Diceros bicornis minor: one gene and its partners. The protein of the gene in region 4 interacts with the protein of the main gene of each other region in a pairwise test. Links are inferred from orthologs where the notes say so. Each region holds a gene or a part of one and is shown on either strand. Other genes may lie near its edges. The genes, in order: CCND3; POLL; cytochrome c oxidase subunit 5B, mitochondrial; TFIP11.

Region 1 (8,392 bases), on a different chromosome or scaffold from region 4:
GTGGAAGGCAACTTGCAGTGGCCTTTTCCTGTGGGGAGGCATGGGGACCTGTATGAGGGAAGGCAGCCACCTTATCCTGTGTCCGGGCAACCCCTGAGACTCTCAGCCCTCGTGTGGTGGAGAACCTACCCTTGGGGGCGATGAGCTGCAGTGGCTGGCAGCTTCCCCCACATCCCTAGCCTTTAAGGCCACCTGGGCTAGCTAGAAGACCCACGTTCTCCTCACTGGCTTCAGTGCAAGGCTGAGGCAGGACCCTTCCCTCCTCCTCTGGGCCTCAACCTTCTCTGCTGCACAAGGATTTGGACTGACTGGAGTTCTCTGAGATCCCGTCCAACTCTGACCTTCTAGGAAGCCATCTGCACGCTCCACCCCCAGCTCAGGCAGAGGGAGTGGGGGAAGAGTAAGAGTACATTTTGCCTGTTCTGAAAAACTCCCGTCACACAAAGACACACATACCATCCCAGTCTTTTCACAAAAAGGAAGTCCCCTTCTACCTTCCAGCCCAAACCCCTCTGGAAACATCTTGGTCGCCAGCCCTGGAAACCAGCTCCACCTTCAGACTTGCCAAAAACTACCAGATTCATCACAAAGAGCTGTGGGGCCTCCCAGATTCCCAACTCTGGCCTCCTACTCCCATCTCGGAGAGCTACTTGGCAGGAAGAGGAATCCTGTTCCTCGACAAGCAGCAGTCGGGGGCCCCAGTACCCTGGCTTCCTGGCCAGCCAATCACAGCAGCCTGCATGCTGCCCTCCTCCCCTGGAGATGGGGCCCAGAGACTCCTCTCAGGGTCAGCAGAAGACTTGGCGGACAGAGAGCAGGGTGGGGGAAGGTGCCAGCTCACCCACCCTCTCCCCCAGGCCTCCCCAGGAGATGATCTGCATGCCCCGAATAACCTCTTCCAGATCCAGGCAGCTCTGCCACCTCCTCTCCAGGGTCAGTGGGGAAAGAGAACCCGGGGCCCTCCTGCCCTCCTGCCCTCCTGCCCTGGGAAGAGCCCAGCCCAAGTTCCCAGCAAGAGGCCCAGGGAGCCACTTCCCAAACCACAGGAGTGACAGCAGCTCCCCACAGGGTTATGAAAGACCTTGGTCAGAGTGGGCGGGCCAGGGGAGGGGGCATCATTATCACATCGGAAGCAGCTGCAGTTCAGCTCCCTGTCTGTCCCTCAGCTCTGGCCTTTGGCTAAGGGGGAAAGGGAGAGATGGTTCTACCAGGCCCAAAGCAGCTGCTCAAGTTCCTCAGAATGAGGACAGGGAATGGAGGATTAGGAAGGAGCCGTCTCTTCTGGGATATAAGGGGAAGGAAAGAAGGTAGGATGAAACTCCTTGGCCCTTCCTTAGAGCAATCAGGGCCTGGCTTTAATCTGCTCTGGGAGGCTTTTCAATCACAAAGTCCACACTGGGATCAAGACTCAACCAAAGCAGCCCCCCTCCCCCACATGAGGCACATTCCACTCCCCCACTCCAGTGGGGGTGTACAGGCATGTCCTGCTACTGCCAATAAATAACTCATGGTGGCTGTGTAAACCCAGAGGCAAAGTACTAGGAGTGTAGACATGCAGTTGGACTTGTTGGGATCTGGGGGAAAGACCAGGAAGGAATGGCACCCCCTGGAGGTCAGGAGAAGGAGATTTAGTTCCTGCCAGCAGCTCAAGCCACTGGGGCTGGGGCTACCCTAACCATCACACCACACAGCCCCATCTTTTGTCCAAAAACATAGCCTCTGCCCTCTGGTAGCCATGCTCCCTCCCCAGGGGGCAGAAAGCCTCTGAGGCCTTAGCTTTCCTTTTCCTGGTAAGTGAGGAGGCAGTACGTGTTGGGGGTGGGGGGAGTCATGCACGCACCCGCAGCTGGCGGGGAGAGACAGAGTGGTCGGTGTAGATGCACAGTTTTTCGATGGTCAGGGGCGTAGTCTCGCGCAGCTTGGAGGCCAGCAGCATGCAGACCGCACCCAGGAGCTGCAACTGCGCCTTGCGGGTGGGGACGCAGGACAGGTAGCGATCCAGGTAGTTCATGGCCAGGGGGAAGACTTCTTCCTCACAGCGCTGCTCCTCACATACCTGGGGGGGGTGGGCACAGTCACTTCTGGGCAGGGCCGTGGGAAACGCAGCAGTACTAAAGGGGGGGGGGGTGTGCTGACGGGAGATGGAGTGGAGAGCAAAAATGGGAGGGGGATAAGTGTACTTATAATGTCAAGGACTAATACGGAGGAGGATGCGTCCTCCCCAAGGTGACGCCCCCCACTTCCTCCGCGTTGCCTCCTTCCCCCTCCCCTGGGGGGTGGGGGACGCCAGAGGCTCCTTTCCTTAATAAGGATTCCAAACTGAGACTCCCCTCCCCCATAGCGGGGGGGAGGGGGAGAAACGGAAGAGTCACCCATGTTAGCCAGAGAGCTGGGACCTTACCCCCATTACCACCACCCACTGCACACACCCAAAGGGAAGGGAGGAGACTCCTGCCGCTGCCTCCCGCACTTTTCATTTCCCTGACGGCCGGAACAGCGCGCGCGCCACCCCCACCGCCTTCCCCGCCAGAACCCCGCGACAGACACAGGAACCGGCTCTGGGGCGGGGGCGGCCGAGCCCAGGGTTTTCCAGGCGCGCACTCCAGAGAAGATCGGGCGGGGGAGGGAAGTAGGAGACGCTGAGAGAAGCCGGAGGGGAGAGGGTGGCTCTTGTCCCGCTTTCCTGGCCCGAAGAGGGGATTGGTTAGGGTGCCAAATGATTGGCAGTCAGAGTCAGGGCTGGGGAAGGGAACGGGTCACCACGGAGGCAGCCGGCTAGGGTGCCCGAGTGGAAGGCCAAACCGGGGGTCTGGACCACCGAAGCATCTTGTTGATTGTTGTTGGGACCAGGATGTCCCTATAGGGCGGCACCGGGATGTCCGGAGCCGGGGACGCAGGGGCGGAGGGGGAGGGGAGACCCGTCCCGGCGGTACCTCCAGCATCCAGTACGCCAGCATCTTCCGCATGTGCGGCTTGATCTCTCTCTGCACGCATTGGAAGTAGGAGGCGCGGGGCACATAGCGCTCCTCCAGCCGGAGCAAGCTCTGCAGGACACGCTGGTCCCCCAGCAGTCGCGGGTCCGGCCCGGCCCGGGGCGCGTGCCGGGAGCCCTCGCAGCACAGCAGCTCCATCCTCGGGCAGCGCACAGGCAGGGCGAGAGTGCGGGCTCGCGAGCCAGAACGCAGGCGGCAGGCCGGAGAGCGCGGGGCGCGGGTCTGGTGCTGGCGCTGGCACTGCGCGGCCGAGCCCCAGCCCGCCCGCGCCGGCGCGCGCGCCGCTTCCCTGACAGGCGCCCCGCCCCTCGCGACGAGGTAGCGACCGTGGAATGCTCGAGCGTCGCAACGTTCCAAGGGGCGGGGCTGCCGGCGCCCAGACGGAAAGGGCTGGCGGGCGCTCCCCCTCCCTCCCCGCGGCCGCATTGGTCGGCGCGGCGCGGGCCGGCCGGCTTCCGGGCGCTCCGGGCCCTTCTGACCACCCAGTGGAGAGAACTATCTTGGAGGTGGGCCTCTTCCCCAGCAAAGAGCCCTCCCATTTTGCTTCTCTGTCTCTAGTTGCCCAGGAAAGAACTTTTCTGCAATGGTTATTCATTCATTCGTCAGACCCTACTTCACCCACTGCTTGCTCCAGGGACTATAAATAATAAAATAACTAGTTCTTAGTGAACACTGTTCTAAGCACTTAAAGTGTAATAACTTATTAAATCCTCACGAAAACTCCATGAGTTAGGTATTACACTTATTTTGCAGACGAGGAAACTGAAGCACAGTAACTATAACAATCATGCAGTCAGTCTGCGGCAGAGCTGGGACTGGGCAGCCGACAGTCTGCCTCCAGAATCTGTGCTCTACGCCATTGCTCCTTCAACTGGGATCCCCAGACCAGCAAGATCTGCACCGCCTGAGAGCTGGTTAGAAATGCAGACCCTCAGGTCCACCCCTGACCTGCTGGATCAAAATCTGCATTTTAACAAGATCCCCGTGATTCCTGCGCATATTAAAGCGTGAGAAGGGCTGGTCGAAATCAGCACATTACAGAAACACAACAGGGCGGAAAGGCCATGGATTCAAGGCCTCACCTTGTCATTAAGTTGGCTCTGTGGCCTTGGACAAGCCCTGAAATCCGCCTTAGTTTCTGTTTGAGGAAAGAGTGGGCGGAGAAACTAGATCCTCTCTGAAGGAGTTTCTTGATCAGACTCTACAAAATCTTCCAGTTGCCATTTCTTCTACCTCCCAAACTTTCCCCAAAGCTGGATTCCACAGGACCAAGAGGCAGACCACAGGCCTCCAGTTATGCTCCAATGGAAGGAGGCCTTGGGGATCTCTGCCTCTCCTGGGGTCCTCCCAAGGGAGGAGACACTAAGGAAGTGAGTTACTAGAGAAATGACACTGGACAGAAAAGGCAAGTTCTATGTTAAGCATTTTCTCAATGAATTGTTCTTTTTTATAGAATAAATCTTATTGTAGTTTCCAAATCATGGAAATATTCATTCGCATTGCAAAAACTTAGAAAATACAGATAAGCCACACAAAACAAGGGAAAATAATAATTACTTGCAATTTCACCATCCAGAGATAACTCTTTAAAACGTCAATGTTTATTTTTCTAAAATTGCTCTATAAGTAAACACATATTTTTCAAAATGAGATCGCAAACTGTTTTGTAAGCTATTTTTGTCAATAAAAAATATACTGTTAACACTTTTCCATGTCGTTAAATATGCTACAACATTATTTTTAATGGCTACACAGTATGCCATTCGGTGAATGTATAATGCATTTTACCAAATCTGTATTGGTGGAAATTCTTCTCTATTAGAAACAATATGTAAAATATTTTTGTGGTAATATCTTTGTGCAGACTCATGATTATTTCTAGAAGTGAATTAATTTCTAGAAGTGGAATTTCTCAATCTAAGGTTATGAAACATTCTAAGGCTTTTGATACAATTCTTATTACCAAATTTCCCTGCTGAAAGGCTGAACCAATCTAATGAACAAACATTATATATCTATTTTAAAAAAACCACAACTCTGCCAACTGGAGAGATGAAAAGTGGTTTATATTTTTTAATTCAAGAGCCCTTGTTGTGCCAACATGAATGTGTCACGTGCTTTGTCTAATCTTGTAAGTCCTTTACTCCTGTCTTCAGAAATATAAGTATGAAGTTTCTTTAGCTAATTATTCATTGCATTGCACTCTTTCATTAAAAAGAACAATAGATTTAAAATTATAAAGATTAGGTATGAAATTATGGGGAGGCAAAAATGAAGTGTAAGAGGTTTTTAAGGTGCAGGAAGACTAAAAAAATCTAGCTTTTGAAGTAAGTACATCACCAGAAACCAGATCTGTCTTGAAGGAAGGTGTTTCTTTACTTTCAGAATTATCGAATAGGACTGTTCAGGTTAGAAGATTGTGTATTTTTTGTGTGTGTGAGAGAGGAAGATCAGCCCTGAGCTAACATCCATGCTAATCTTCCTCTTTTTACTGAGGAAGACCGGCTCTGAGCTAACATCTATTGCCAATCCTCCTCCTTTATTCCCCCAAAGCCCCAGTAGATAGTTGTATGTCACAGTTGCACCTCCTTCTAGTTGCTGTATGTGGGACGTGGCCTCAGCATGGCCGGAGAAGCGGTGCGTTGGTGCGCGCCTGGGATCCGAAACTGGGCCGCCAGCAGCGGATCGCGCGCACTCAACCGCTAAGCCACCGGGCTGGCCCAGACTGTGTATCTTTGATGAGAGAGTTAATCACCATTGTTTTAAAATTTTTTCCCAGCTTTACTGAGATATAATTGACATATATCAATTGTATTAGTTTAGAGTATACAACATAATGATTTAATATATGTATACATTGCAAAATTATTACAATAAGTTTAACATCCATTACTTCACATAGTTATAATTTTTTTTCTTGAATGAGAACTTTTAAGATATATTCTCCTAGCAACACTCAAATATACAATACAGTATCGTTAACTATAGTCACCGTGCTGTACATTATATCCCTAGAACTTATTCATCTTATAACTGGGAATTTGTACCTTTTGAGCACCTTTCTCCATTTCAGACAGCCTCCAATCTGTTCTCTATTTCTATGAGTAAGGAGTTTTAAATTCCACATATAAGTGAAATCAAACAGTATTTGTATTTCTCTGTCTTATTTCACTTAGTATAATGCCCTCAAAGTCCATTCATGTTGCTGCAAATCGCAGGATTTCCTTCTTTTTGTGGCTGAATAATATTCCATTGTATATATATATACCACTTTTCTTTTTTTTTCTTTTTAATTTTATTTATTTATTTCCCCCCAAAGCCCCAGCAGATAGTTGTAGGTCACAACTGCACATCCTTCTAGTTGCTATATGTGGGACGCGGCCCCAGCATGGCCGGAGAAGCGGTGCATCGGTGCGCGCCCAGGATTGAACCCGGGCCACCAGCAGCGGAGTGCACGCACTTAACCGCCAAGCCATGGGGCCGGCCTATATACCACTTTTCTTTATGGAGAAAGAAAACGAGAGATGAAAAGTGATTTATTGGTAATAATATTTTGACATATTATTTACATTTCTTAGGTAAATTAATTACCTATTCATATTTCTGTCCATTCTTTTATAGGGATGTTTGTTTTCTTATTGATTTATAAGTGCTCTTTATATTTTAAGGACATTAACCCTTTTTCATACTTTTTTCTTTGTCACAAATTTTAGTTCACTGTTTCCGTCTCATTTTTGGTTCATGGTGAAGTTCTTTTTTTTTAACAAATAAAAGGTTTATGGGGCCGGCCCGGTGGCGTAGCGGTTAAGTGTGCGCGCTCCACTGCAGCGGCCCAGGGTTCACAGGTTCGGATCCTGGGTGCGCACCAATGCACCGTTTGTCAAGCCATGCTGTGGTGGCGTCCCACATAAAGTAGAGGAAGATGGGCACGGATGTTAGCCCAGGGCCAATATTCCTCAGCAAAAAGAGGAGGATTGGCAACAGATGTTAGCTCAGGGCTGGTCTTCCTCAATAAATACATACATACATAAATAAATAAATATAAAAAAATAAAATAAAAGTGGTTACAAATTTAAAAAAAATAATAAAAGGTTTTTATTTTTATGTAGCCTTATTTACTGATATTTTCTTTAATGATTTTTGCCTTTGAATCATGCCTTCCCCATCCTAAAGTTATATAAGTACTAGAAGAAAATGTAGGAAATACTTACAGATGATTTTTTTTATCACCCAAAGAGCTTGCCAAAAATGCAGATTTCTGAGTCCTGCCTCAGGGCTTTTCATTCTTTGAGTATGTGATGAGGCCCCCAAAATCTGCATTTTCAAGAGTACATACAATAAAGTTTTGTTGTTTTTTTTTTTAATGTGTAAATTGTCACCTACATTTATTCAGTGGTATCATATTAAGTGGGGGTCTAGCTTTAGTTTTCCCAAATGATCAGCCACTGTGTCCCACCGCCCTGATTTAACAATCTGTTCTTTATTTCCCTTGACTTCCCTGCCATGAGCACCCCTGGGCCTGGCTCTTGCATCTTAGATGATGCCTTCTTTTGGTTACTTATGGCTAAAGACTTTTACTGGGAACTGGCCCTCAGAATTCCTGCCACTTTTGTCTAAGGAACTTCACCTGGTCTTTACCCCAATATCAGGTAAAAAGGTGCTTAAGCAAGACACCAAAAGCTCATTTAGTCTGAAATAACCACTGCCCTCCACTTCTAGGGAGAAGTGTCCTTCAACTGCAGCAAGAGGGATGTAAGTTAGATAGCAGGGAAGACTCCAGTTAGACAATGATATGAGAAAGAGAAAAAGAGTAGCAGAATCATCTTCTCTGTAGACCTCTAAAAACCTAGCAGGTTCTTCATTGCCTTCCCCATCTCCTTAGTCCCCCTTCCGTCACTGGTCAGCCCATTTATCCTCTCTTCTCAGTTTATGTATTCAATCTTCAAGGCCCAGTTCAGGTCCTACCTCCTCCAGGAAGCCTTCCTAGAACAATCCAGCTGCAGGAACCTACCCTCTGGCCTCCAAACTCCTGCAGATCCCACTGCACATGCCCTGCATTTGGCTGGTTCTGGACCTGCTCTCTCCCTAGCCCGAGTGTAAGTTCCTGGAAAGGGGAAGACGATCCACATGAATTGAGATGTCACTATGTACCAGGCACTGGTCAGGGTGTTTACAATCCACTGTCTCACCCTCTCAGATTTATTTTCAGATGCGAAAACTGAGGTACAATGGAATTAAATAACTTACTGAAGGTCTATGTAGCGCTTCCCAAACTGTACTTTTTTTTCTATAATTTTATTTATTTATTTATTCCCCCAAAGCCCCAGTAGATAGTTGTATGTCATAGCTGCACCTCCTTCTAGTTGCTGTATGTGGGACACGGCCTCAGCATGGCCGGA
Region 2 (7,899 bases), on a different chromosome or scaffold from region 4:
CCTCTGGCCAGTAAAGAGAAGACCTCCCCATCCCCCTCCCCGTACACCCTGCCCTGGCCCCCAGATACCTGGTAGGAGGTGACAGGCTTGTGGAAGCTCTTGAGTGCATTGATGGCCTTGGCATAGCCCAGGGCCCTCCACTTGTCTCCCTGAACACTGTAGGCTTTGGCCAGCACTTCCAGTTTCTCTGTGATGTGGAGGTTGTGGTTGGTCACCTTCTGGCTCGAAGGCTGTGCACAGACCCACTTATCCAGGCCCTCAGGAGCTGGGCAAGGCTCATCCTCTTCCTCAAGGAGGGTAGGGTAGCGGCCACTGATCAAAGCTTCCAGCTCAGCTGCGCTAACCTGGGTCTCTTCCCCATCACTGGTTTCATCATCAGAGACAGGCTTGAGGTAGGGAAGGAGAAGAGAGAATAAATTCCTGCCCCCATGAGGAGGGCTCCTTGTCGGTGGGGACGAATTTCCTGGTAAGATCCAAGAATGAGGCTGGGTCTTCTGCATCAGACTTGGGTCTCCTTAAGTGTGGGGCTGTCTTCCATGTGGCTTCCCCCAGAGCCCAGCCCTGGCATCCCCAGTGGTATGTGGTGGATATGGCCTGGGCAAATGCAGGAGTGATGAGTGCTGGGAAGAACTAAGTGGTTCATAATAAAGAGAACCCTCCTCTCGCAGGGGCCTGGGACTTTCTGAACAACTCTACCAGGCCCTCCCTGTTTCTGTGATCTAATTCCTAGGAGAAGGGAGCTGTCGGGGCTGGGAGGCTCCTGACCTGGGCTTGGATGCTTGGAGCCTCTTCTGCCCTCCGGGGAGGAGACACAAGTCTGGTAGGAGAAGGGGAAGGAGAGAGGGCTGTACGGAGCAGAGCCTCACAGGCTCTAGGAGGAGTAGAAGAGTCTTGGTCTGCCTTGCTGAGCTGTGTTTGGTCCAGGTACCTACAGGGATGGTGATGGGAGGTTAAGACACCAAAGATCTCACCCTATCTCTGCCCCCAATCCTTCTCTTTTCTTTTGTTTTTTTGAGGAAGATTGGCCCTGAGCTAACGTGTTGCCAATCTTCCTCTTTTTCTTTTTTCTCCCCAAAGCCCCAGTACATAGTTGTATATCCTAGTTGTAGGTCCTTCTAGTTCTTCCACATGGGATGCTGCCTCAGTATGGCTTGAAGAGCAGTGAGTAGGTCCGCACCCAGGATCCGAACCAGCGAACCCCAGGCCCCGGAAGTGGAACGTGCGAACTTAACCACTACGCCACCGGGCCGGCCCCTCCCAATCCTTCTCTACTATGAAATCTTGGTTTTCCACTGTGTCCACTTAAGACAATGAGAGTTATTTTTAATAAGCCAAGAAGAGTGCTCAAGATGCTGCCAGAAAACACTTGAAGAAAGACTGGGACCAGCCCACCTGTGGGGGATGAAGATGCTGAATCCTGCCGTGTCCACCAGCCTTCCCTCCTGCAGGCACAAGCTTAGCCAGGCTGACTTCACCAGCTGAGCACCGGCGGGCAGCCGGGGCAGTCTAAGGAGACGGAGGGCTCGCTCACAGTCCATGGCTTCATCCACCACAATGTGAGTGACCCCTGGGGCCTGGGCAGGGCATATCTGGCCACCATGCTGGATAATCTGCTTCTCAAAGAGTTCTGCCCGGGCTCGCCCAATGCCAGTGGGCACTACATGGGCCCGCAGGGAGCTCAGCCACTCTGTGGAGGGGACATCCAGATGCCTGTTGTCATAACTTTCACATATATCCTAAAGAACCCTTTGCAGTCCCCCGCCCCTAGACAATCATTTTCCTTCCATCCAGACAGCCTGCCTTCTGAAGGTTCCACCACAAGCATATAGCTAATTTACTCATGGGCCATCATTTGAATGTAAGGGGCAAGGATTTTGATATGTCCTGTTCCCTCGTGTAACCTAGGACAGTGTCTGGCACATCGTAGGTATCCTATAAATCACTTCATCTGATCATTTATTCTTTCAACAAATATTAATAGACACCTACTACTGTGTACCAGGCACAAGGCACACATGTTTTGCCATTACAGGCCTCACAGTCTCACAGATTCCCCCTCCCCACCCCCTTTTAGGTCTTTGCCATCTATTTGTCAATTTGGTTGCAAAATAACTTATAACTCTGGGGACCTGAGTGGGATTTCTTCCCCCCACCTCCTTGAGAGCAAAGGATTCTGCTGGTCATTTCCTTAGTGACCAGGGAGTATTTTCTGATTGATAGAGGTCTCGGGTGGGGTAGAAGATACCCAGCCAGCGGCCGGTCAAAGACTTGGGACCAAGCCTAGCACCAGGCAAGTACAAATAAACCTGCAGGCCCTGGGTGGGCAGAGTCAGCTCTAACATCTGATTCTGAACATGAACAATGTAGGAAGCCTGAGAGTTCAAGCACATGAGGGTTCTGAGGGTGGGTCTGCTCACCTCCTGCTGCTTCTCCGTGTTCTCTCTTGGGAATCTTTGCAAATGCTTTTGATGATGAATTGGCAGGAATTTTCTTCCGCTTGGGAAATGCCTTCAGGATGCCCCTGGGGTCCACTGAGGTATGGCTGGATCCTGACCTTTCTGTTTGAGAGCTGATCATAACAGCTGTCCTGTGGAAACCCAGAATTGCGGTTCCCCAACCCCTCTGCCTATAGAGGTGGGGTCTCTATTGATTAGGCCTTGGGGGCAGTAGCCCAGTTCCCAGGGGTCTCCCAAAACCAAATTGAACGCCAGTGGTTTAGCCTACCTCTACACTCACCAGCCTTTCCAAGCCAGAGTATTGGGGTATATGGGGGGAAGAGTGAGGCTATTTGGGGAACTTTTGAGAGTAAGGAAACGATATCATTCCTCAGAGAGGTCGCTCTCAAGATTCAGCGCAGTGTCTGCCCCTGCTGCATCCCACTTCCAAAGGGATTTACCGAAAGGGGACGCCAGGCTAGGAAACGAAGCTACAGCTTTAGTAAGCCCTTGAGCTCCCAAGAGCAGTGGAGGCTGCGGGGCACATAAACTCCACATAATCTTTCTCTAACCCCATCAGAGACCCACAGAGGAAAACCTGGGGGTGGTTAGGGGGGCAGTGGGAACGCCCTGCACCTGCCCTAGTCGCGGGTTCTTGGCATGCGGGTGCTCAGCCCCGCAGCTGCGTGGAGATGGGGCACGGCCGCAGCTGGTGTGGGGCGCCTTCCGGGACTGGGGAAGTTTCCGCCTCACAGCTGGGGGTAGAGAAGACTCCGGCAGGTGTGGGGCATCCGCCGCGTACGCAGCTGGCGCGCATGAGGGACTCACAGCTGGGGACCACAGAGGGACTGGGGTGTCGAGACCCCAACCTGAGGGGGCCCTGCCCCCTCCCCCTCCCGGGATTCGGTCCCGGGTGGGCTCCACTTCAGTCCCCGCGGGTCACCCGGGGGTGGCCAGGAATAAACCACTTACCAAGCGGCCACTAAGAGCGGACGAAGGCGTGGGCGGTGGGGCGGGGGTGGGGGGGGACGGGCAAATGCCCAGAAACCTTCCGGGTCAGCCGGAAGTGACCCTAGGCGGAAAGGTTGCCATGGCAGCGTCCGGGCGCGCGACTGGGCGGAGGGAAAATGGCGGTGACAGGCTGGTTGGAGAGTCTGCGGGCGGCTGAGAAGACGGCGCTACTGCAGGACGGTAACTCGAGGCCCCCCGCGAGTCCCCTCGTCCGTTCCCCCAGAGTCCTGCCTTCCGCGGTGGTGCCTCCAAGAAAGGGCCTCAGCCTGGGACGGCAGAGCTGGAAGGGTCGCGGCCGCCAGCCAGGCCAGGTCCTGCATTTGCAGATGAGGAAACTGAGGCCCAGAGAGATGATGTGACTGGAACACGCGTCTCTGGACACCCCCTGGTTTCCTCTACACCGCCCCACTCCGCTCTGAGTTCTGTTACTTAATAAATAAGAATTCCCTTCGTATTCAATATGTTATTTGCTCCTCATCGCTGTCCCGAGAGGCTGTTAATATCCACCCCATTTTATAGAAGAGGAAACGGAAATTCAAGAATATTTTAGACCAGCCTCAGCTGCTCCAACCAGTCAGTGGTACAACTGGATTTGTACCTGGGATCCCATGAACCTCCATCTAGGGGTTCTATTGCTGAAGGCAGCCTGGTGTCATGGAGGGGCGGGAAACCTGGGCTTTAGAATTGTGACAGAATTGTGACTCTGTCATTAATTCACCGTGGGCTCCCAGTCTGGCCCTTGACTTGTTTGGACTTCACTTTCCTCATCTGTAAAATGAGATGGATGGGCTACCTCTGTTATCTCTGAGGTCCTTTCCAGCTGTAGTGTTATGTTTGTAAGTGAACCTGTAAATGTTGCCTGGGTCTTTAGGGGAGACAGAGCAAGGGCCCAGGGCTGTGCCTGGAAGAGGTGGGCATGGGAGTATAGCGTCTTGACTTTCTCTCACCCTAGGATTGGACTGTATGAGGCTCCCTGTGCGTCAGGGTCGCTTCCTGGACCCACTTGGCAGCCAGAATGAATTAGGTCTGAATTCCTTTAGCTTTCAGGATACCAGCTAGGGATTCACATCCATACACAGAGGCCAATCAGGGAAGCGTGGAAATTGAAATCAGCTGCTCATTCACTTATTCATTTATGCAGTATTTAGGGAGGCTTTTACTATGTGCCAAGCTGTGTACTAGAGTAGACAGAAAAAGACATGTTGGGGCCGGCCCCGTGGCTTAGCAGTTAAGTGTGCACGCTCTGCTACTGGCGGCCCGGGATCAGATCCTGGGCGCGTACCGACACACCGCTTCTCCAGCCATGCTGAGGCCGCGTCCCACATATAGCAACTAGAAGGATGTGCAACTATGACATACAACTATCTACTGGGGCTTTGGGGGGAAAAAAAAAAAGGAGGAGGATCGGCAGTAGATGTTAGCTCAGAGCCAGTCTTCCTCAGCAAAAAGAGGAGGATTAGCATGAATGTTAGCTCAGGGCTGATCTTCCTCACAAAAAAAAAAAAAAAAAGACATGTTGTCCCGAGAGTTCACAGAGTGGTCAGGAAAAAGACATGTAAATAAATAATAGTATGTGTTAAATAGAGACTGGAATCTTCTATAAAATGCTATGAGAGCAGGAAGGTGGAAGTCATCTCTTTGAAGGAAGACCTGAGGGAAGAGGTGATGTTTATGGATCCTAAAGAATTAATAGGTGTTTGCTAAGTAGAGAAGAGGGCATGGCTGTTCCAGGAAGAATGGCTCACGTGTAAAGGCATGGAGGTGTGAAAATATATGCTGATTACTAGGGGAGTAACAAAATATTTAGTGAGGCTGAAGCATTCACCCCGTCAGTCATAACAATCCCTCACACCATGTCAAGTGCCAGGTGCTAGGATGCAAGGATGAATAACAGGTCTCTTTTCTCAAGGAGTAATGAGGGGAAATGGTGGAAAATGAAGAGAGATTGCAGATAAATTGGGGCATTTTGTGATAGCTCTCCTATGCCAAGCTAGATTTTGGATATTGTCTCAGGACAGTGGTTTTTGTTTTTATTGTAAAAAATACATAACATAGCACTAACCCCTTTAGCCATTTTTAAGTGTACATCTGTGGCATTAAGTACATTCACATTGTTGTGCAACCATCACCACCATCCATTTCCAGAACTTTTCATCTACTTCAATGTTAGTAAACACTAACTCCCCACTCCCCCTATCCCCAGCCCCTGGTAACCACCATTCTACTTTGTCTTTATGAATTTGATTACTGTAGGAGCCTCATATAAGTGGAGTCATACAATGTTTGTTCTTTTGTGACTGGCTTATTTCACTTAGCATAATCTCCTCCAGGCTCATCCATGTTGTCAAGTGTCAAAATTTCCTTCCTTTTTTAAGGCTGAATAATATTCCATTGTATGTATATACCGCATTTTGTTTATCCATTCATCTGTTGATGGACTCTTGGGTTGCTTTCACTTTTTTGGCTGTTGTGACTAATACTGCTATGGACGTGGGTGTACAAATATCTGTTCTAGTCTCTGCTTTCACTTCCGTTGGTCACAGGACAATGTTCAAACAAATATTTCATCAGCCAGGATTTTGTTAAATTTTTTTTGTTAATAGCATCACAAAACAATGTTGAGAACCTGATACGCTTTAAATTTTTTTCAGAAAAATTTGTATTCATTGTGGAAATATTAAAAATAAACAAGTCACCCATAATCCTGCTTTCCAGAGGTAATCATAATTTACATTTTCATACATAAACTTCTATATTTTTTTCCATGCATATGCACTCACACATATATATTTTTTCTTTTACCAAAATATCATACTAATATACTTAAAATTTTTTATATCTGCATACATATATACATATAGAATAAATATGTATAGAATAAAATATAAATAAATATTATATAATCTTTGGGTAAAGGAGGATATTGTAAGCATAACTTCTGGGTGGTAACCACAAAAGAAAAAGTAGTTGACTATATAAAAATTAAACACTTGTTTGGGAAAACCCACTTTAAACAAAGTTATAAGGCAATTGAAACTGAGAGTATTTGCAACATATATGACACATGGTTAATACATACAAAGCTCAATCAGATTAGTAAGAAAAAGATGAACACCCAAATAAAATAAGCTAAGGCCTAAATGGATAATTCACTAGAAACATGACCAATAAACCCTTGGAACAATATTCAACCTTACAAATATTTAAAGCCATACAAATTATCCTAGTGTGGTTATTAGAGCATGGACTTTGGCCTCAAGTGAGTTTAAGCCTGGGTCTGTCATTTCCTAGCTTTATGACTTTGGACAAGTTGCATGACCTTTAAGCCTCAATTTTTCTCATTTGTGAAATACAGGTAATGCGGGCACATAGGATTATTGTGAGAATTAAATGCCATAAAACATGTAAAGTGCCTGGCCAGTAGTAAGCACTGCATCCTTCCTAGACTCAAGACTGGACTGCAGGGGGAGAAGAGGGTCAGGCCATACACCCTCAGCTACTTGCAGGCAGCACCTTGTACCCCACTCCTGACAAGAAAACCCCTTCCAGCTCTATGAGCCATCCAAATGATTAAGGGTGGTGTGACCTAGGGGCGTACTGAGGGGCCCTGCAAATTTGGGGAAGTTTCCCTAGAATGCAAATTAGGAACTACTCAAGGGAAGTGTGTCCCAGGGAAGTGAATTGGACAGGAAAAAGGCTTGGTAGATCAGATACAGTTGCAGGTTTTAGCTAGTGGCACCTTCAGCTGGTTAGGGGCCTTGGGGCTCTTATTCGTCAAGCATACTTTGGGAAACCGTCTACTGGGCATTAGTCCTCTGTTATTAGTCTCACTCAGGAACTACCTATATCTACTTACCTATCTGTAAAAATAGGGGAAATTACATAGCCACTTTTAAGAAAATGCTTATGATTATACTAGATAGGTGAAAGAGTTGGGCTAGGAGACTCCCTTGGGTTATTCCATTTTTTTCAATGAAAGATGAATCAGTGTTCATCTATTCTTTCAATCAGTATTTAGTTGAGCACATAATATATGCCAGGTACTATGCTTGGTGTTAGGGAAACCATAGGCAGGGGGGATAAAACCTCTCCTGTCTAGTAGACGAGACAGGCAATAATCAAAGAATCACACAAATAGATGTAAAATCATAACCAAGGTAAATGCCATGAGGAAGACACATGGGGACTAACATCGTTTGGCTGTGTGATAGGAATGGCCTAGAGATGTGCAAAAGAAGGCAGAGCAATGGCATGGCTAAAGGGAGTGCTTGGTCAATATCCTTTTCAATATTCTGAGCACATAGGCTTGGTTTTAGGAACTGGGGAGAAAGATGCTTTTAAGAGTATTACACTATGTGGTAAATGCTCCATTATGAATATGAATAAAGCACTAGGGAGGCACAAACAGGGAAGAGATGAGTTTTGCTAATGTGGCTGGGAGTGATAGTTTAGG
Region 3 (7,179 bases), on a different chromosome or scaffold from region 4:
AGAGCCGCCAAGCTCCCAACATCAATGGCTCGGCCAAGGGTGACAGTCACAGGCCTGTCATGGTGTATGGTTTTCTCCAGCAGCGCTAGCCACCTTGGAAGCAGGAGCCCAGAAGATAAATGGCTGGGCCAATTTAGTATTGGGTACCAATGGGCAAGAGAGCAAGGAACTGAGAATGCCCGTGACAGTGTGGTTGCACCATCTGAGCAGGGGATTGTCCCAGGTAGAGACCATGCTGGTCGCTCCCTGTCTGTCCCTCCAGACCCACCCTGCAGCCTTCTCTCCACTTTCTGTGCCTGAGGGGCTGTCCTCCATGGCTCCCATCAAGGGACTCTCTCACCCTCTGGTTTCCAGTTAGGTTCACTGGCAGGACAAAAAGGGTGGGAGGAGAGAGATGTCTGCGTTTGTCCGGCACCTCCACCCCGCCCTCTCTGCCAAGGCTCTGCTGCTACAGCTCTCACCAGGTGCCAATACCGCCAGGCCCAGAGTGGTCAGAGCGTCCCACCGTGGCCGTCTCTGGTCCTCACCATCCCTTGGGGCTCCGTCAACCCTGCACATCCCTCTGCAAGCAGTTCTTTACTAAACTCTTCCATGTGGTTCAGTGGGGCCCTAACAGACTTAGGAAGAACAGGGGCTGGCCCAGCAGGAGGGGGTGGAGGCTGGTTGAGGAGGGGAAGGAAGAGGTGAATGTGGAGGAAGAGAGGAATATTAGGATTTCCCAGGTGGAGCTCAAGTTCCTCTCTGGAATAATAAATGGAGCTCGTGTGTGTGTGTGTGTGTGTGTGTGTGTGGAAGATCAGCCCTGACCTAACACCCGATGCTAATCGGTTTTTTTTTTTGCTGAGGAAGATTGGCGCTGAGCTATCATCCGTGCCCATCTTCCTCTACTTTATATGGGACGCCGCCACAGCATGGCTTGACAAGTTGTGCATTGGTGCATGCGTGGGATCCGAACCTGCGAATCCTGGGCCGCTGCAGTGGAGCGCGCGCACTTAACTGCTTGCGCCACTGGGCCAGCCCTAAATGGGGTTCTTTTGGATTGGGAAGGGGGGTCAACCGGTGAGAGAAGGGTCCTGGGAGGGGAAGGGTGGCAAATTCATGTTTTCTCCTGTGTGAGGTGCCCTGTGCTGCCCCACCAGTTCACTAGACTCCTTTTGTTTCTTAAAAAACCACACACACACACACACACACACAAAACCTTTAACTAAGAAGCCTCCTCTGATCTCTCTCAGCCCCAGCTGCAGCCAGGCCCTCCTGCTGACTAAAGGTCCAAGTGACCCATTTTGGATTTGTGGCATCTCAGTTGGTTCTGACCTGGCTTTTCTGCTGGAAGGGTCCCAGCTCTCAGCAGCCTGCTGGAGGTTCAGCCACTTTGTCACATCTTCCTCAGGTCTCCTTAGAGGGCCCTCGGGGTCTGGGCTGTCCCTGGCTGATATGGGATCTGGGCAGGCCTGCATAGAGCACCATCTCCCCCAAGCCCATTTTAATTAAAAACTGGCCTAACTTGTACCTTTGTGAGTGGTCAGGGCCTCTGATGTTGGAGCTGCTCCTTCGGGCAACAGAATTGCAGATTAGGCCCCATTTTTGACCCCATTACTTTAAGCTTGTGTGAACTCTGCCCAAACCAAGAACAACCTCCTGCCCTTTCTACTTTAAGATAGATTCAAGGCAGAACCCACATTTTACTCACTCCTGAATAGTGACCAGCCTAGGCCCATAGAAAGGACTGGATATAATCTTCCTAACATTCTAAGAGTCTGTAAGTCAATAAGATAATCTCCCCAAACAAGAATATGAATAACCAAGAAATGTTTATTTCATTTCTGAATACGTAATACATTCACATAGTTAAAACAAAACCCCAAAATAGTATAAGAGGTCTCACCCCCACCCCTGCCCTCAGCGGCCCAGTGTCCGTCCGACCCATTGTCCCCCCACTTCTTCTGCCTCCCCTCCCCAACGCATACAGAGGTAGCTACTTGTGTTAGCTTCCTGTGCATCCTCCCAGAGTTCCTCTAGGTAAACACAAGCAACTATGAATATACTGAATAGAAGTTTTTAAGCCAGCATTAACTGAGCGCTTACAATGTGGTAGGCACAGTTCTGAGCGCTTTACAAGTGTTAACGCCTTCAGTCCTCACAACAGCACCAGAGGTAGGTGCTATGCCCATTTTAAAGAAAATGAAACTGAGGCAAAAGGAAGTTAAGGAGCTTACCCGAGTGGCTGAGCCCGGCAGTTCACAGTAGAGGAAATGTAAATGATCAATAAACATATGACAAGATGTCAGCTGCCTTAGAAGTCAGGGAACTGAAAATGCAGACACCAAGAGCATCTGATTTTTTACTCATCCCTGGGTGAACTTTGCACAAGGCCCGCAACTCGCAGGCCATGGCGGTAGGGACTGGCACTTACACACCCTGCTGGCGGGAGCATGAATTGCTTCCAACTTTTGGGAAAACAACCTGGCAGAATTTATGATAATGTGTAATGTACACACCCTTTGACCTTATTGCCCAGAAACGAAGGCTCCAGAATATAAGGCTATATGTACACAGACATGCACTGCAGCATTGTTTGAGAGGCAAAAACCTAGAAACCATCAGATTATTCATCAAGGGGGAAATGGTCTGGGAGATTACAGTACATTCATAGTGGGGAATATTATGCAGCAATTACATAAAATGAGTTATATCTGTATGTATTGATTTATGATGTCCACAAAATATTTTTTTAAGTGAAACAATCTACTTACTAATAATTTGCATAGTAGTTATATATTTTTGTGTCTTATATTCATTTATATATCTGTACACTTTTAAGAAACATCCCAAATGTGTGCAATTGTTTGACTATGTCTATATGAGCATTCAGCAGTGATTCTCAGTCGAGGGCAATTGTGCCCTCTAGGGAACACAGGGCAACGGGTGAAGACACTTTTGGTTGTCCCCACTGGGGAGTGCTACTGGCATGGCTGCTGAATGTCCTACAATGCATATAGGACAGTCCCCCACCCCCATGCCCTGCAAAGAATTATCCAGTCCAAAATGTCAACAGTGCTGAAGTTGAGAAACCCTGGCATAGAGAGAAGAAAAGGGTAAGCACAAAACTGTTAACAAGTAACTTTTTCCTTACACATACATGTTGTTTGACTTAGTATAATGTGCATTTTTGACTACTAAAAATTATCCTATAAAAGTAAAAAAATAATGCTCAATAAGTTTGCTTTGGCAAAGACAATGATGGAGCAGGAGTGGGAGACTGCTCTCCAAGCCAAACTATTTCCCAAGGAGACATTAGGGGGCAGGGGTGTGAGCGGAGGGTGGTGGGAGCTGGAGAGAGCAAGGGATGGTGGGGGTGGGGGGTGCCTGGAGCCTGGTCCTGACAGTCGAGCTCACTCGCATAGTGTAAATAATCCCAGGGATTTTGTGAGCTGAACAAGGACCAGCAAAAATGTCCTAGGATTAGGCGAGCCTACTATGAGAGTGAGAAACAAGCTTAAACTCTATTTCCATTTCATAGTCTGGAATGAACCATCTTATGGTCAGGCGGCAGGGACTTGTGACACACCAGAACTGACATTTCTCACTGGTCCGCTGAGAGTTGGGTTAGTAGGTGTTTCTTGGCAAAGAGTGGTCAATTAAGATGGTAAAACTCTGGCTTAAACCACAGGTAAATTAAACAGGATACTCTGTTTCAGGCCTAATCAGAACCTTTAATATGCTAGAACGTGCATCTCCAAGATGGTGGTCATCAAATGCAAGACTTCCGTGTCTTGTGGCCCCAGAACGTTCTGTGACTCCTTTTCCCATTATCAACACCCCTCCCTTAACCTCTCCCTTGGTTAATTAACCTCCCGGTGTAGTCACCCCCTCACTCCCACATCACCAAGGGCCTTGGTCCTGGGAGGGGTCCTAAATCTGGCCCTACTCTCCTCCCCTCCCCGGGCTCCGCCTCAGGGCTGGACCTCAGCGCTTGTAATGACCTCCTCACCCCAACACAACTGTCACAGGAAACTGATGCCAGGACTGCGGGGAGGTCCTGCGCAGGTTGTTCAGGACTGGGCGATGGAACAAGTTCGCGGTGGCTCACCCACTGCCAGGCGAACCAGCGTAAAAGTCAACACAGTGGCTTTCAGGAAGCTGCTCCTAAAGTTCAATCGTTTGGGGTCCAGCAGGTGTCGTGACAGACGCGGGCTTAAAGACTTCATCAGCAGCCTCCAGGTTTACCGAGCACAACTATCAGGCAAGACGCACAGGAACTCGAGTATGGTTACCCATTCTACGGACGAGGTCACTGAGTCCCACGGACGCAAAACGAGTCGCCCCAAATCTCAACATTAGTGAACAGCTGGGCCGCAAGAGCCTACAACAGACCCCGTGCCCGCCCGCACACCACCAGGGCTGGGCAGCGGAGGCAGTGAGGCAGAGCTGGGCATGCGCAGCCGTCGTCGTCCCCCGCGAGTCACGTGAGCGGGGCGGGCTCCGGGGCGGACGGAAGCGGAAGGCTGAGACGGAGGGGAAGATCCCGCCCCCGGAAGTCCCGCCCGCCTCTGGAGCCCGTTCTCGGAAGTGCTGTTGTTTGTAGCGGGCGTGATGGCTTCAAGGTTACTTCGCGGAGCTGGAGCGGTGGCCGCGCAGGCCCTGAGGGCGCGCGGTCCCCAGGGAGTCGCCGCGGTGCGCTCTATGGCGTCTAAAGGTACTCGTCCCGCCGGGCACGCCGGGGACCGGCGCCGTCGCCCTCCCGCGGTGGGGCTAGGGCGGCAAAGCGGGGCTGACCGTTCAGCTCCTCGGGGCCCCGGTGACCGCTGCGCAGCCCCCGCCGGCGTCTCCCTGTTGTTCCTGGCTGCCCCTGCTGCCGCCCTCCGAACTGACCCTGCTGCGAAAGACTCCTAAACGGAGATGCCGGGTGACCTTGGGGGACAGGAACTGCAGCGGGATGTGGGAGGCTGAGCCGCCGTCAGACCTGCGCCCACCTCAAATCGGAGGAACCCCACTAGGACTCTGATGGGTCTGCTTTTAGGAAAAAAATGTGTCGAAAACTTGGCCTCCGTGGTTGAAGGAAGAAAAGATTCCCCCCCGTGCTGCCACTTTTGGGGATCATTGTCTTGGGGGACAAGGTGTATGAGTAGCCTTTAGGAGCTTACGAACTGTATGCAAAGATTTATGTATGTGCGTTTTCCGTCGTGATCATGTCAGACGACATCGTAATTCACGGGTCTTCCTTTAGGTGGTGTTCCCACTGATGACGAGCAAGCGACTGGGCTGGAGAGGGAGGTCTTGGTGGCTGCACGCAAGGGACTGGTGAGGAGAAACTCCTTTCTGTGTCTTCTCTGGAGCTCGTGGTCTTGGGTGGGATCAGAGCAGTCCCCTCTCTGGGAGCATTTGATGCAGGAATCCTGGCTGGTGGGAATAGTACCGCTAGCCTCTGGAGGGTAGGGGTCATTTGGCATAACGGCTCAATTCTTGTTTTATCAGGACCCGTACAATATACTGGCCCCAAAGGCAGCTTCAGGCACCAAGGAGGACCCTAATTTAGTCCCCTCCATCACCAACAAGCGGATAGTGGGCTGCATCTGTAAGTACCTTGCCACTGTTTACTTATCCATTTGTTTAATATATTCTACTATACAGCATGTCTGTAAGCTGCTCCATATCTTTTGCATGTCTATAAAGAGGAGATGTGTGTAAATGAGTTATTCTAAGGGTCCTGGCCCTCTCAAGCCTCGTTAGTCTGAGTAGGTCATCCTTACTGTAAAGAGACATAGACCATCATTAATACTGGCTCATTGGCGATGCAGCATGAAGGAGTACTCCTGCAGAAAATATTGTACTTCCTCTTTGCCAGACACCATTTGAGGCACTAGGAATACAGCAGAACGGACGCTGCTTTGGGATTCTATTTAGGCAGTGGAACTGTTAGAACTATAGTGACTCTGATACGAGGTCAGTTTACTCACAGGTAAACTCAGGGCCTCAGTTTCTTTATCTGAAAAGTGGGGAGGAGAGCTTGAACTGATCTCTTAAGATGTCAGCCATAACTTTGTGCCTCAGAGGTGTCTGAGGATGAGACTAATATTGCAAGTCTCCCCTTCTAGGCTGGATGGCCTTCAACCACCTTTTTCCTTTCAGGTGAAGAGGACAACAGTGCTGTCATCTGGTTCTGGCTGCACAAAGGCGAGACCCAGCGATGCCCTAGCTGTGGAGCCCATTACAAGCTGGTGCCCCACCAGTTAGCCCACTGAGCCTTTGCACTAACTTACTCAAAATGTGCTGTAAAGTTTCTTCTTTCCAGTAAAGACTAGCTATTGCATTGGCCTCTTCTCCCATAGTTGCCTGGTCTTATTTCTTTTCGGTATTTTTGGGAAGGCATGGGTGATGCTTGTATCAAGAATAGCTGTCTCCTAATATTAGCTTATTATCCACTTGCATACACCGAGATTGACAATCTCATAATACAGTGCTTGGGACCACCTGGTATGGGGAAAGCATGGGCTGTGGAGCCAGGCTGACTGGACTTGTAAGAGTGGCTCCCTCATTTAGCTTTGTCACTGGGGGCATGCTCTCTGAGCGTAGGTTATGTCTACCAAAAAAAGATAAATACCTTCTGAGGTGTTAGAGGTAATAATAACATATAAAGAGCCTAGCAGATGGTAGGTCCTCACAGTATTATTAGAAAGGGACCTTGTGAGGAGCGTTTTGGGGGCTTTAAAGTCTTGAGGGACTCAGGTTTAAAACATAGTTCATGGGGATACCATCAGCAAAATCTAGAATATGGGACAATTCCAGAAACCAGTGACCAGTTTCTTCAAATAAATTGCGAGGAGGAAAGAAAATGTAGAACCTGTCACGTGAAATGGTTGTGAGGGAGATACCAAGAGCAATGCGTGGACTGTTTGGATCTTGATTTGAAAAACCAACTGTAAAAAAAAAATATGTAATTTGAACTCTGGATATTCAATATTTAGGGATTTATTAAATCTTAGTTATTAAAATTTATTAAATTTTAAATCCAAAAATTTAGGGATTTTCATTAAATTTTAAAATTTAATGAAATTAAGTTTTTAATGCTTTAGAGATATGTACTGCGGTACTGAGAGGTGAAACATGTCTGGGATTAGCTTTAAAACAGTGGGAACAAGGGGGAGAGAGTAATTTGCGGTATGATTGATCCATTGTAGC
Region 4 (8,417 bases):
GTTTATTCATCTGTAAAATGAGATGATAATAATGGTGCCTTTCTTATAAGGTAAATGACACCAGGCGTGTGAAGAACCTAGAACAAGCAAGCAGCCAATAGACGTTGGCTATTATTCTCTTTTGACTATGCAATTCTTCACCTCTGATCTATTTGCCATCTACTTTTACATTTCCCTGCCAGATGAGAAGGGGTTGAATTGATCTCTATACTCTTTCTCCCCAGTAGCAACGGGCTGGAGCCTACAGGGCACAGATGGCGACAGGGAGACACCCACACCTGCTACACACTCTGGTCAAGCGAGCTGTAGCCAGTGCACACGTGACTTCAAACTGAGGAGGGGACTTTCGGCCTGAATCCTCATCTCCCTGCCCCCTCCTAGCCCAGGCCTCCCCCTCTGCAGGGACCACCGCCTCCTCACACAGCTCCATCTTCCACTGTGACTCCACGACAACTCTGCACACCAGCCAAGGGTGCAGACACAGCCCCGCCCCACGCCACACCTCTACCACAGACCCTCGGCCTCTTCTCAAACTGTGCTCCCCTCCCTCTCTCCACTCCAGCCCGCAAAGCCTTTCGCGTCCTCGCGGATATACCCTGTGGCCTCCCGTTAAGGGTTTTTGCTTACCCGCACCTCTCCTACCCTAGTTACGTTCTTTCATTCAGCTCAAGGATGGCTTCTCCAGAGAAATCTTCCTGACCTCTCCAAATAGGTCCAACACCCTAAAACGTGCTCTCCCTTAGGTCCTAAATCAGTTACGAACTTCCATTGTGTGAGTTGTTAATTAACGCCTGTCTCCATCCACTCGAGTCTGGGATCTTGAAAGGCAAGGACTGAGTCTATAGCGCAATGCCTAATACACGTAATCACTCAACAGACACCAACTGATGATCAAATCAGTGAAGGAGCAGCCCTCTAGCCTAAAGAGGAAACAGGACCTCCCTAGCTGATGTCATAGCGCAGGGGCTCAGTAAGGCCAGGAGAGAAGTATATTTATGGGGGTATCTCCCCCACTCCCTCTCCGTCTTCCCTAAAGCAAGAGGAGGCAGCCCCATGCCGGCCAGTACCGTTTGCCTCCAAAGCTGGGCCTCTCTTCGTCCGAGTCCCGCTCTGCCCACACTCCATAGGTGGCCTCTTCCTTGGTCTGCCAGTGGCGCTGCCGGTTGGGGTTGAATTCATTCTGGAGATCCCAGTCGGTGATCTCGAAGTTCTCCCGCTCGTCCTCATCGTCATCCATGTGGCCTTCCCCGTCCCGGTACAAGTGGGACAGTGACATGGCCAGTCACTAAAGGAAGGGATGAAAAAGGCACAGTCTGTGATGAGTCCTGGGCATAGCAGGAGAAGGATTCCCTGTGAGTCCTACTCCCTGCTGCCTTCAGAACTTCCTCCAAACTCACGGTCCCTTAAAACCGTTGTTAAAATTCAACAAAGCAGACGTTAAAACCTTATTTTAGAAAACAAGGGCCAGCCCCAGTGGCCTAGTGGTTAAGTTTGGTGCACTCCGCTTCGGCAGTCTGGGTTCGTGGGTTCGGATCCCAGGTGCGGACCTACACCACTTGTCAGCCATGCTGTAGCAGCGACCCATGTACAAAATAGAGGAAAATAGGCAAGGATGTTAACTCAGGGCCTCAAGCGAAAAGTGGAGGATTGGCAACAGATGTTAGCTCAGGGCAAATCTTCCTCAGCAAAAATAGAACAGAGCCAGTCCTGATGGCCTAGTGGTTAAGTTCTGCATGCTCTGCTTTGGCAGCCCAGGTTTGGTTCCCAGGCGTGGACCCACACCATTTGTCTGTCAGTGGCCATGCTATAGTGGGAGCTCACATACAACAAAAGGGAAGATTGGCAACAGATGTTTGCTCAGGGCGAATCTTCCTCAGCATAAACATTTAGAAAACAATCGGTACGATAACAGATGGAAGAAAAGACTAGTCCCAACAGTCTACGTGATTCTCAAGCATGTATTTCCTAGTCCCAATGTCATAAAAATCACACACTCACATATACACAAACCACACAAAAATAACTAAATAAGTATGTTATTCTATATATTATTGCCTCCAAAACTGGGTGGTCATCTTCCAGGACCCTACACTTTATTATTTTTTCTATCATTGAGGAAAGAGTTATACTGGACCCTTGGCAGTCCCAGGAGGGTGATATTTGAGAATAAGCTTTCTGAAATACATTACTTGATGATGAAACCCTAAGACTTAGTTTTCCTCTGATGAGCTGGAAGGCAGTCTTAATTATGAACACTACCTTAGCAGTCAGACATCTATGGGTTGGAATAGAGAATTCAACTCTTGGTAGCTGGGTGATGAGATTTAGCTGTCTCTTAAATGGATTAACTACTATACCAACCTTTGAGAATGCTTATAAGTCAGATTCAATGAGATGGTGCTTAAAAAACACTTAGCTCAGAATAAGTGCTCCAGGAACAAGAGCTGTTACTGGAGTGCCAAGATTAGGATCATCATCACTATTACTGGATTAGGGAATGAACCTAGCAAAGTGCGTGTGAAATCAGGTACTACAATCACAGCCTGACTTCAAATCCCACTCCTACCAGGTACTCAGTGTATGAGTATTAAATGCACACGAAGTGCCAAGCATGGTGCACTACGCAGTAATACATTCACTGTGTGACAGCGACGTGATTCTTGTCGCCCAGCTGCTGCAAGCAGCCTCTGGGGACAGGAGTTCACTACCGCCACAGGCAGTGTCACACTCGGGTCCGCTCTGTTACACAGTTCTCCCTGCTTGTTCCAGTCTCTGGTGCACTGGCTGGGTGCTGGTGGACCCACGCTCATCCAGGAGTGCAAGGAGGGAGATGTTCTGGGAGGTCCCAGCTACATGGGAGTCAATAACGCCGCTGGGCAGAGTAATAATTAGAGTTGTCACGAGTTAGAGAGGCCTCCACACACGCCAAGCACTGGCTGGACGCTTCAGGCCGATAATGCAAGCATCAAGACCCGTCCACGAGGTGGAGACTACCGGCGTTTCCGTACAGGCTTCAGATAAGGAAAACGAGGCTGAGCGCGGTTACACGACCTGCCCTAGGTCCCGCGGCAGGCAGGGCTCGGCACCCGGGGACTTCAGCCCAGGCTCGGGCTCCGCTGTGCACACTTCGCGGCGGAGGCTCGGTCCCCGCCCGACCCGGCCCCGACTCCCCGGGGACGCCGGGCGGCCCGCCCTCGGCAGAGCCGTCGGCGAAACGGAAGCCCCACGGCGAGGCCGCCTTCCCCGAGCCCTCGCAGCCACTCCCGCCGGCGCGGACGCCCCTTCGCCCCCTCCCCGGCCCCCGGCCCGCTCACCTCGCCCGGGTCCCGCCGGCCACACACAGCTCCCCGCTCCGCGCGAGAGCCCCGCCGCTCGGGACGCCGGAAGCCGGACGTGCAGAGCCCGGCGCGCCGGAAATGACGTCGCGCGACCGCAGAAGTGGCGCGCTGGTTGCCATGGCAGCAGCGGAAGGCTACGGCGGCTTTGGCTCTAGAGCGGCCCGGCTGAGACGCCAGAAAGAAGACGCGGATGTTCTGGCCCCCGAGAGGCTGGGGGTGCCTTCCCGGCCGCGCTGGCCTCCCTGCCGCGCCCGCTCCGTGGAGACGCCCAGCCTGTCGCGGCTGCTGGACGTCGCCGAGCCGCCGTGGCCTTTGCCGGTCTGGGATTCTAAATCTGTAAAATGGGGGTATAGGACTGGCTCATGGGATGGTTGTGGGGAATCGCGTGAGGCAGTAGCGGGGCCGGAACACGGCATTCAGGTGGGGATGATGAAGGTCAGGACTGTCTCCTGTGTCCTTGGGTCTCCGGTAAGCCCCGTCGTGGGCACAGAGCAGTTGCCTTATGTAGGAGTTTGAGGGAGTGAAGGAATGAATGGGCAAACTCGAGAAGTCCCAAGTATTCCCTCCAGGAAGCCTCTCCATTCTCTTCCTTTCCAGCCGGTTGATAAATAAATTCATTCATTCACTGATCTAATAAAAATGTACTGTCTACTCTGTGCCGGGCTCGGGGGATACAATGAACAAACCAGGCAGCGGCCCTCCCAGGGAATCCCTCACTGGCTCTGAGTACCAATCTCAGCTCTGCCACTTACCAGCTCTGGGCCTTGGGCAAGTCATTCCATCTCTCGAAGCTTCAGTTCTCTCTCCTGCAAAATGGTTGAGGATCCAATGAGATACAATATGTAAGCAATTAAAACTGAACCAGGTACACAGTAGGTGCTTGGGAAGTGTTAGCCGTTAATGTTTTCGTATGTTCCCTCGCTCTGTTTCTCTCTCTCCTCCGTATGATGAAAATATCCAAGACGCAAGTGTTGGTGTGCTTTGGAGCGAAAAGATTTGGGTCTAACTTCGAGTGGGTGTTATTAATTAAATGAGAATCCCGTGAAGCCAATTAAATGCCAGGTTCTTGGTGTTCACACAAAATAACCAATAACTATTCTATAGATAAGAGAGAGAGGTGAGTTTTACTTGAGCCAGACTGAGGGTTATAGCTGGGGAAGGCCTTTTCAGGACAGGAAGAAAGCATTGGGGAGAGAAAGCCTTGGGGAGAAACATGGTTTTTGTTACAGTCTTATATCTTTTTAGAACAAAGAACTTATATTAAACACACCCGGGATACATTTTCATCAAAGTTTCAAAGAGGTATTTAGTTGCAAATTAGCAGGTCAACATGACCCTGATGTCGGGACAGGGAATTTATTTTAGGAGTACTAATATGGGCGTTACCAATAGGGTGTAGGAGAGGAAGGATACTTTCTTAAGAGAGTGCGTGCTTTACTTTTATGGTTAAAGCAGATATACAATGTATGTTTGATAGGCCAAAGGCAGGCATCTTTTTTAGTTCAAGCTGAATTAGTTTTGAATCAAATACTTACCCCATATACCCCAATATGTGAAAACTTACTGGGAATGGGGACTGTGCTTTACTGGTCTCTGTATCCCCAGTGACATGTAGTGTCACTGTGCCTGACACAAAGTATGTACTTAGGAAAGAAACTGGAAAGTGAGGTTTTAGTAGAGGAGAACGCCGGGGAGACAGAGTCTAAGAGACCAAAATGTCCACTAGGCAGCAGACTGAGGGAAACAGATGAGATAAACCATTTTGAGTCTGGGCCTGAAAATGTATATGCCTCTGTTTATAGCCCAAAGCCAAAAATAGAAGTAAGCTTGGCTTCTCAGTAGCTATGTCTGTAGCTTCACAGCAGACTTTATGGAGCTGAAATTACTTTGATCATGAGGGGCTGATGGGTTTGCTTCACCAAATGGACCCCACTATGTGGCTTCTGGAGAAGAGACCTTTGTGGACTGTTGTGGCGTCACTGCAGGCTCTGATCGAGTGACCAGGGTGTGTGTCCTCAAGAATGGACAAATGAAAATCACGTACCACGTGGTAGGATGCCCTGAGAAGATCGCAGCATCACTCTTGTGATATTCCTGCCAAAGATGCATAACCTGAAGGGAATTATGAGGATACGTCAGACAAACCCAAATAAGGGGACATTCTCCCAAAATCTGGCCTGTTATCTTCAAAAGTGCCAATGTTGTGAAAGTCAGAGAAAGACCCTAGAACTGTTCCAGACTGAAGGAAACTAAAGAGACACGATAACTAAATGCAACACATGAATCTGAACTGGATCTTTTTGCTATAAAGGAAGTTATTGGGACAAAGGGCAAAATTGAAATGGGGTCCGGGGTTTCCAGGGTGTGATGTGTCCGTGTTAATTTCCTGATTTTGATGGTTGTCCTGTGGTTACATTGGAGAGTGTCTTTGTTTTTGGAAATACTCAAGTCTTGGGGGTGGTGGAGCATCCAGCAAGCAACTCAATCTCAAATGATTAAGAGAAAAAGATGTCTTCTTTATGAACTTAGAATTTTTTTCCAAAATGAAGGTTCTGGAGTAAAACTTCAAGGATCCAAATCTCCACTTTGCTGCTTCCTGAATGTGGGACCTGGGGCAGGTTCCATCACCTCTCTGCACCTCAGTTCTCCCACCTGTAAAATGGGAATAACAGTGGTACTGCTCTAAAAGGGTTATTTTTAGGACAAAAAAAAAAAAAAAGGCTGACTAATACATGTAAAGTTCCTGGTATAGTAAGAGCTTCATAAATGGTTGTGGCTATTTCCACTGAAAAGACCCAGTCTTATTCCTCTGCACGGGAGGCCTCTCAGCCTCAAAGATGAGTAGATTTTCAGGATTTCTGGGCTCAAATGCCCAACCTCAGGAAAAGCAAGGAAAGAGGTGGCCAGAAGTTTAGATTCAGGATCTCATATCCACCCTGGTCTCTCGTCACTGCCCAGAAAAACCCTTGCTTTGGGACTCGGGGACGTCCAGGCCCGTGTCTAGATTCCCAATGAGGTACTCAGACATGTAGCCTTCCCAGAAGGGTTGCTAGGCAACACGGCTCCTGAGCAGGAGCCTGGAAGGGCCCCCGGACACTCATTAGTCCCTCCCTCTTTTTTCACAGATGAGGCAATGTGCCCAGGGCCACACAGTGAGTTTATAGACAGAGCCAGGCCTGGAACCCAGGAGTCAGACTTCCAAACCAGTGCTTCCTCTGCTGTACCATGCATGGGGCACCCACACCATTTCTCTCTACTTATTTGAGCTAATACTTATAGAGTGATTCCTGTCTATTCAGAGTCACAAAGACAAACCATACATCATCTCTTAGATTCCTTAACCTTCTGAGGTAGTTTCTATTACCCCCTGAGTTCACACGCCTAATCACCCCTTTATGTGGCCTATGCCATACAGCACTGTTTCCATATTGCCTTCAAAAGATCTGGGGGGAAAATCCTCGCCTAGTTACAACTTTAAATAGTTTGGTACCATAGAAACAATCAGTAAGTGGTATTTCAAAGCTGAGATATTTAAAGTCTAGCACAAGTACCTTTTCTAGGACAGTGACATTATACAGTTGCACATGGCTTATTCTTATTTTGAATTCTGTCACAAAAATGTACCCTGAACTTGGCAGAATTGAAAATCCAGATCGGCTGAGATTAGCAGATCTGGTTTCCCTTTAAATGTTTCTTACAGATGGTTTCTACCCTACTTATCTTTCAAGAATTTGCGAACACTCTATCCTTATATAGAAAAGCTGGGACATGAAGTTCCGTGGGCCTGGGGAATTATCTGTAAAGCACGCATCCTCTAAAGCACACAGGTGAGTTGAGGAACCACAGCCTTCATCACTCATCTATTCATTGATTCATTCATTCAGTCATTCATTAACAAATATTTTGTGGGTTCCTATGTATTATATCTATTACAATGTAACAGTTAACTCCAAACTTAGTGGCTTGAAATGACAGTGAACAGTATCTCATATGATTTCTTTGGGTAGGAATTCAAGAGTGGCTTAGCTAGCTGGTTCTGACTTGGGGTCTCTCTTGGGGTTGCAGTCAAGACCTTAGCTGGGACTGTCATCATCTGCAGGCTTGACCCGGGCTGGATGATCCATGTCCAAGGTGTTTCACTCACACAGCTGGAAGCCTGGTGCTGGCTGTCGGCAGGAGGCCTCAGTTCCCTGCCACGTGAACCTCGACACAGGGCTGCTGAGTGTCCTCATGACACGGTGACTGGCCCCCTCGAGAGTGAGTGACTCAAGAGAGAACAAGGCTGAAGCCACAAGGTCTGTGCTCTAGTCTCGGAAGTCACACACTCTCATTTCCCTGAATATCTTACTGGCTGCATGGTCAGCCCTATTTAGGGTTGCCAGATTTAGCAAATAAAAATAGAAGATGCCCAGTTAAATTTGAATTTCAGTCAACAACAAATAAGTTTTTAGTACAAATATGTCCCATGAAATACTGTCAAAGACTAAAAAGTTAGTCATTGCTTTATCCGAAATTCAAGTTTAATCATCCATCCTGTATTAAACTGGAATCCTGTCCCCATTCAGTGTGGAAAGGGACAACATACAAAAGGAGCATGATACCAGGAGGCAAGCATCACTGTGGGCCATTTTGGAAGCTGGCTCCCCCATGCCCTGATACGCTAGATATGAAATGAGGATAAATGGGGAGCAATTAAAAATAACTGTCCCTTCACTCCTGCAGTTTACAGTCTCATAAGACCAACTTGAATCAAATCACCAGGCCAATAAATGCAAAACCCTGACTTTGATAAAGTGCTTCAGAGAGAAGTAGTTGGAGCTTGGGACAAGGATGGCTCCTCATCAGAACAGCCATGTTTATTGGTTTTATAGATTGACCTTTTAGATGTGATTTTGTCTATGTGGGAGAGGGTATATGGAAGGTTTTGCCACTAAAAAAAGGTAACAAAACCCTGAAAATACACACACACACACACAAACACATGCAAAAAATGGTGAAAACTGAATAAGGTCTGTGGTCTAGTCAGCAGCACTGGACTAATGTCGATTTCTGGGTTTTGATATTGCACTGCAGTTGTAT

What was found.
Region 1: the proteins of TFIP11 (region 4) and CCND3 interact in binary tests that used the Homo sapiens proteins (3 or more experiments, as listed by UniProt). The two-hybrid records come from large-scale screens. The link is inferred for Diceros bicornis minor from reciprocal best matches to the Homo sapiens genes TFIP11 and CCND3.
Region 2: the proteins of TFIP11 (region 4) and POLL interact in binary tests that used the Homo sapiens proteins (3 or more experiments, as listed by UniProt). The two-hybrid records come from large-scale screens. The link is inferred for Diceros bicornis minor from reciprocal best matches to the Homo sapiens genes TFIP11 and POLL.
Region 3: the proteins of TFIP11 (region 4) and cytochrome c oxidase subunit 5B, mitochondrial interact in binary tests that used the Homo sapiens proteins (3 or more experiments, as listed by UniProt). The two-hybrid records come from large-scale screens. The link is inferred for Diceros bicornis minor from reciprocal best matches to the Homo sapiens genes TFIP11 and COX5B.

The regions. Positions count from the first base shown.
Region 1 is NC_080753.1:23,495,640-23,504,031, reverse strand, and holds the start of CCND3 (G1/S-specific cyclin-D3), read right to left. Parts: upstream 3,250-8,392; 5' UTR 3,132-3,249; coding exon 2,934-3,131; intron 2,057-2,933; coding exon 1,841-2,056; intron 1-1,840. UniProt on the Homo sapiens protein: Regulatory component of the cyclin D3-CDK4 (DC) complex that phosphorylates and inhibits members of the retinoblastoma (RB) protein family including RB1 and regulates the cell-cycle during G(1)/S transition.
Region 2 is NC_080745.1:66,687,275-66,695,173, forward strand, and holds the start of POLL (DNA polymerase lambda), read right to left. Parts: upstream 3,454-7,899; 5' UTR 3,408-3,453; intron 3,380-3,407; exon of another isoform or gene 2,588-3,379; 5' UTR 2,578-2,587; coding exon 2,418-2,577; intron 1,688-2,417; coding exon 1,393-1,687; intron 929-1,392; coding exon 766-928; intron 387-765; coding exon 69-386; intron 1-68. Other genes in the region: protein DPCD, read left to right, coding at 3,563-3,626, 6,098-6,163.
Region 3 is NC_080779.1:15,641,428-15,648,606, reverse strand, and holds cytochrome c oxidase subunit 5B, mitochondrial, read left to right. Parts: upstream 1-4,565; 5' UTR 4,566-4,593; coding exon 4,594-4,696; intron 4,697-5,227; coding exon 5,228-5,301; intron 5,302-5,475; coding exon 5,476-5,575; intron 5,576-6,129; coding exon 6,130-6,242; 3' UTR 6,243-6,321; downstream 6,322-7,179. UniProt on the Homo sapiens protein: Component of the cytochrome c oxidase, the last enzyme in the mitochondrial electron transport chain which drives oxidative phosphorylation.
Region 4 is NC_080774.1:20,626,627-20,635,043, forward strand, and holds the start of TFIP11 (tuftelin-interacting protein 11), read right to left. Parts: upstream 3,385-8,417; 5' UTR 3,315-3,384; intron 1,286-3,314; 5' UTR 1,277-1,285; coding exon 1,068-1,276; intron 1-1,067. UniProt on the Homo sapiens protein: Involved in pre-mRNA splicing, specifically in spliceosome disassembly during late-stage splicing events. Intron turnover seems to proceed through reactions in two lariat-intron associated complexes termed Intron Large (IL) and Intron Small (IS).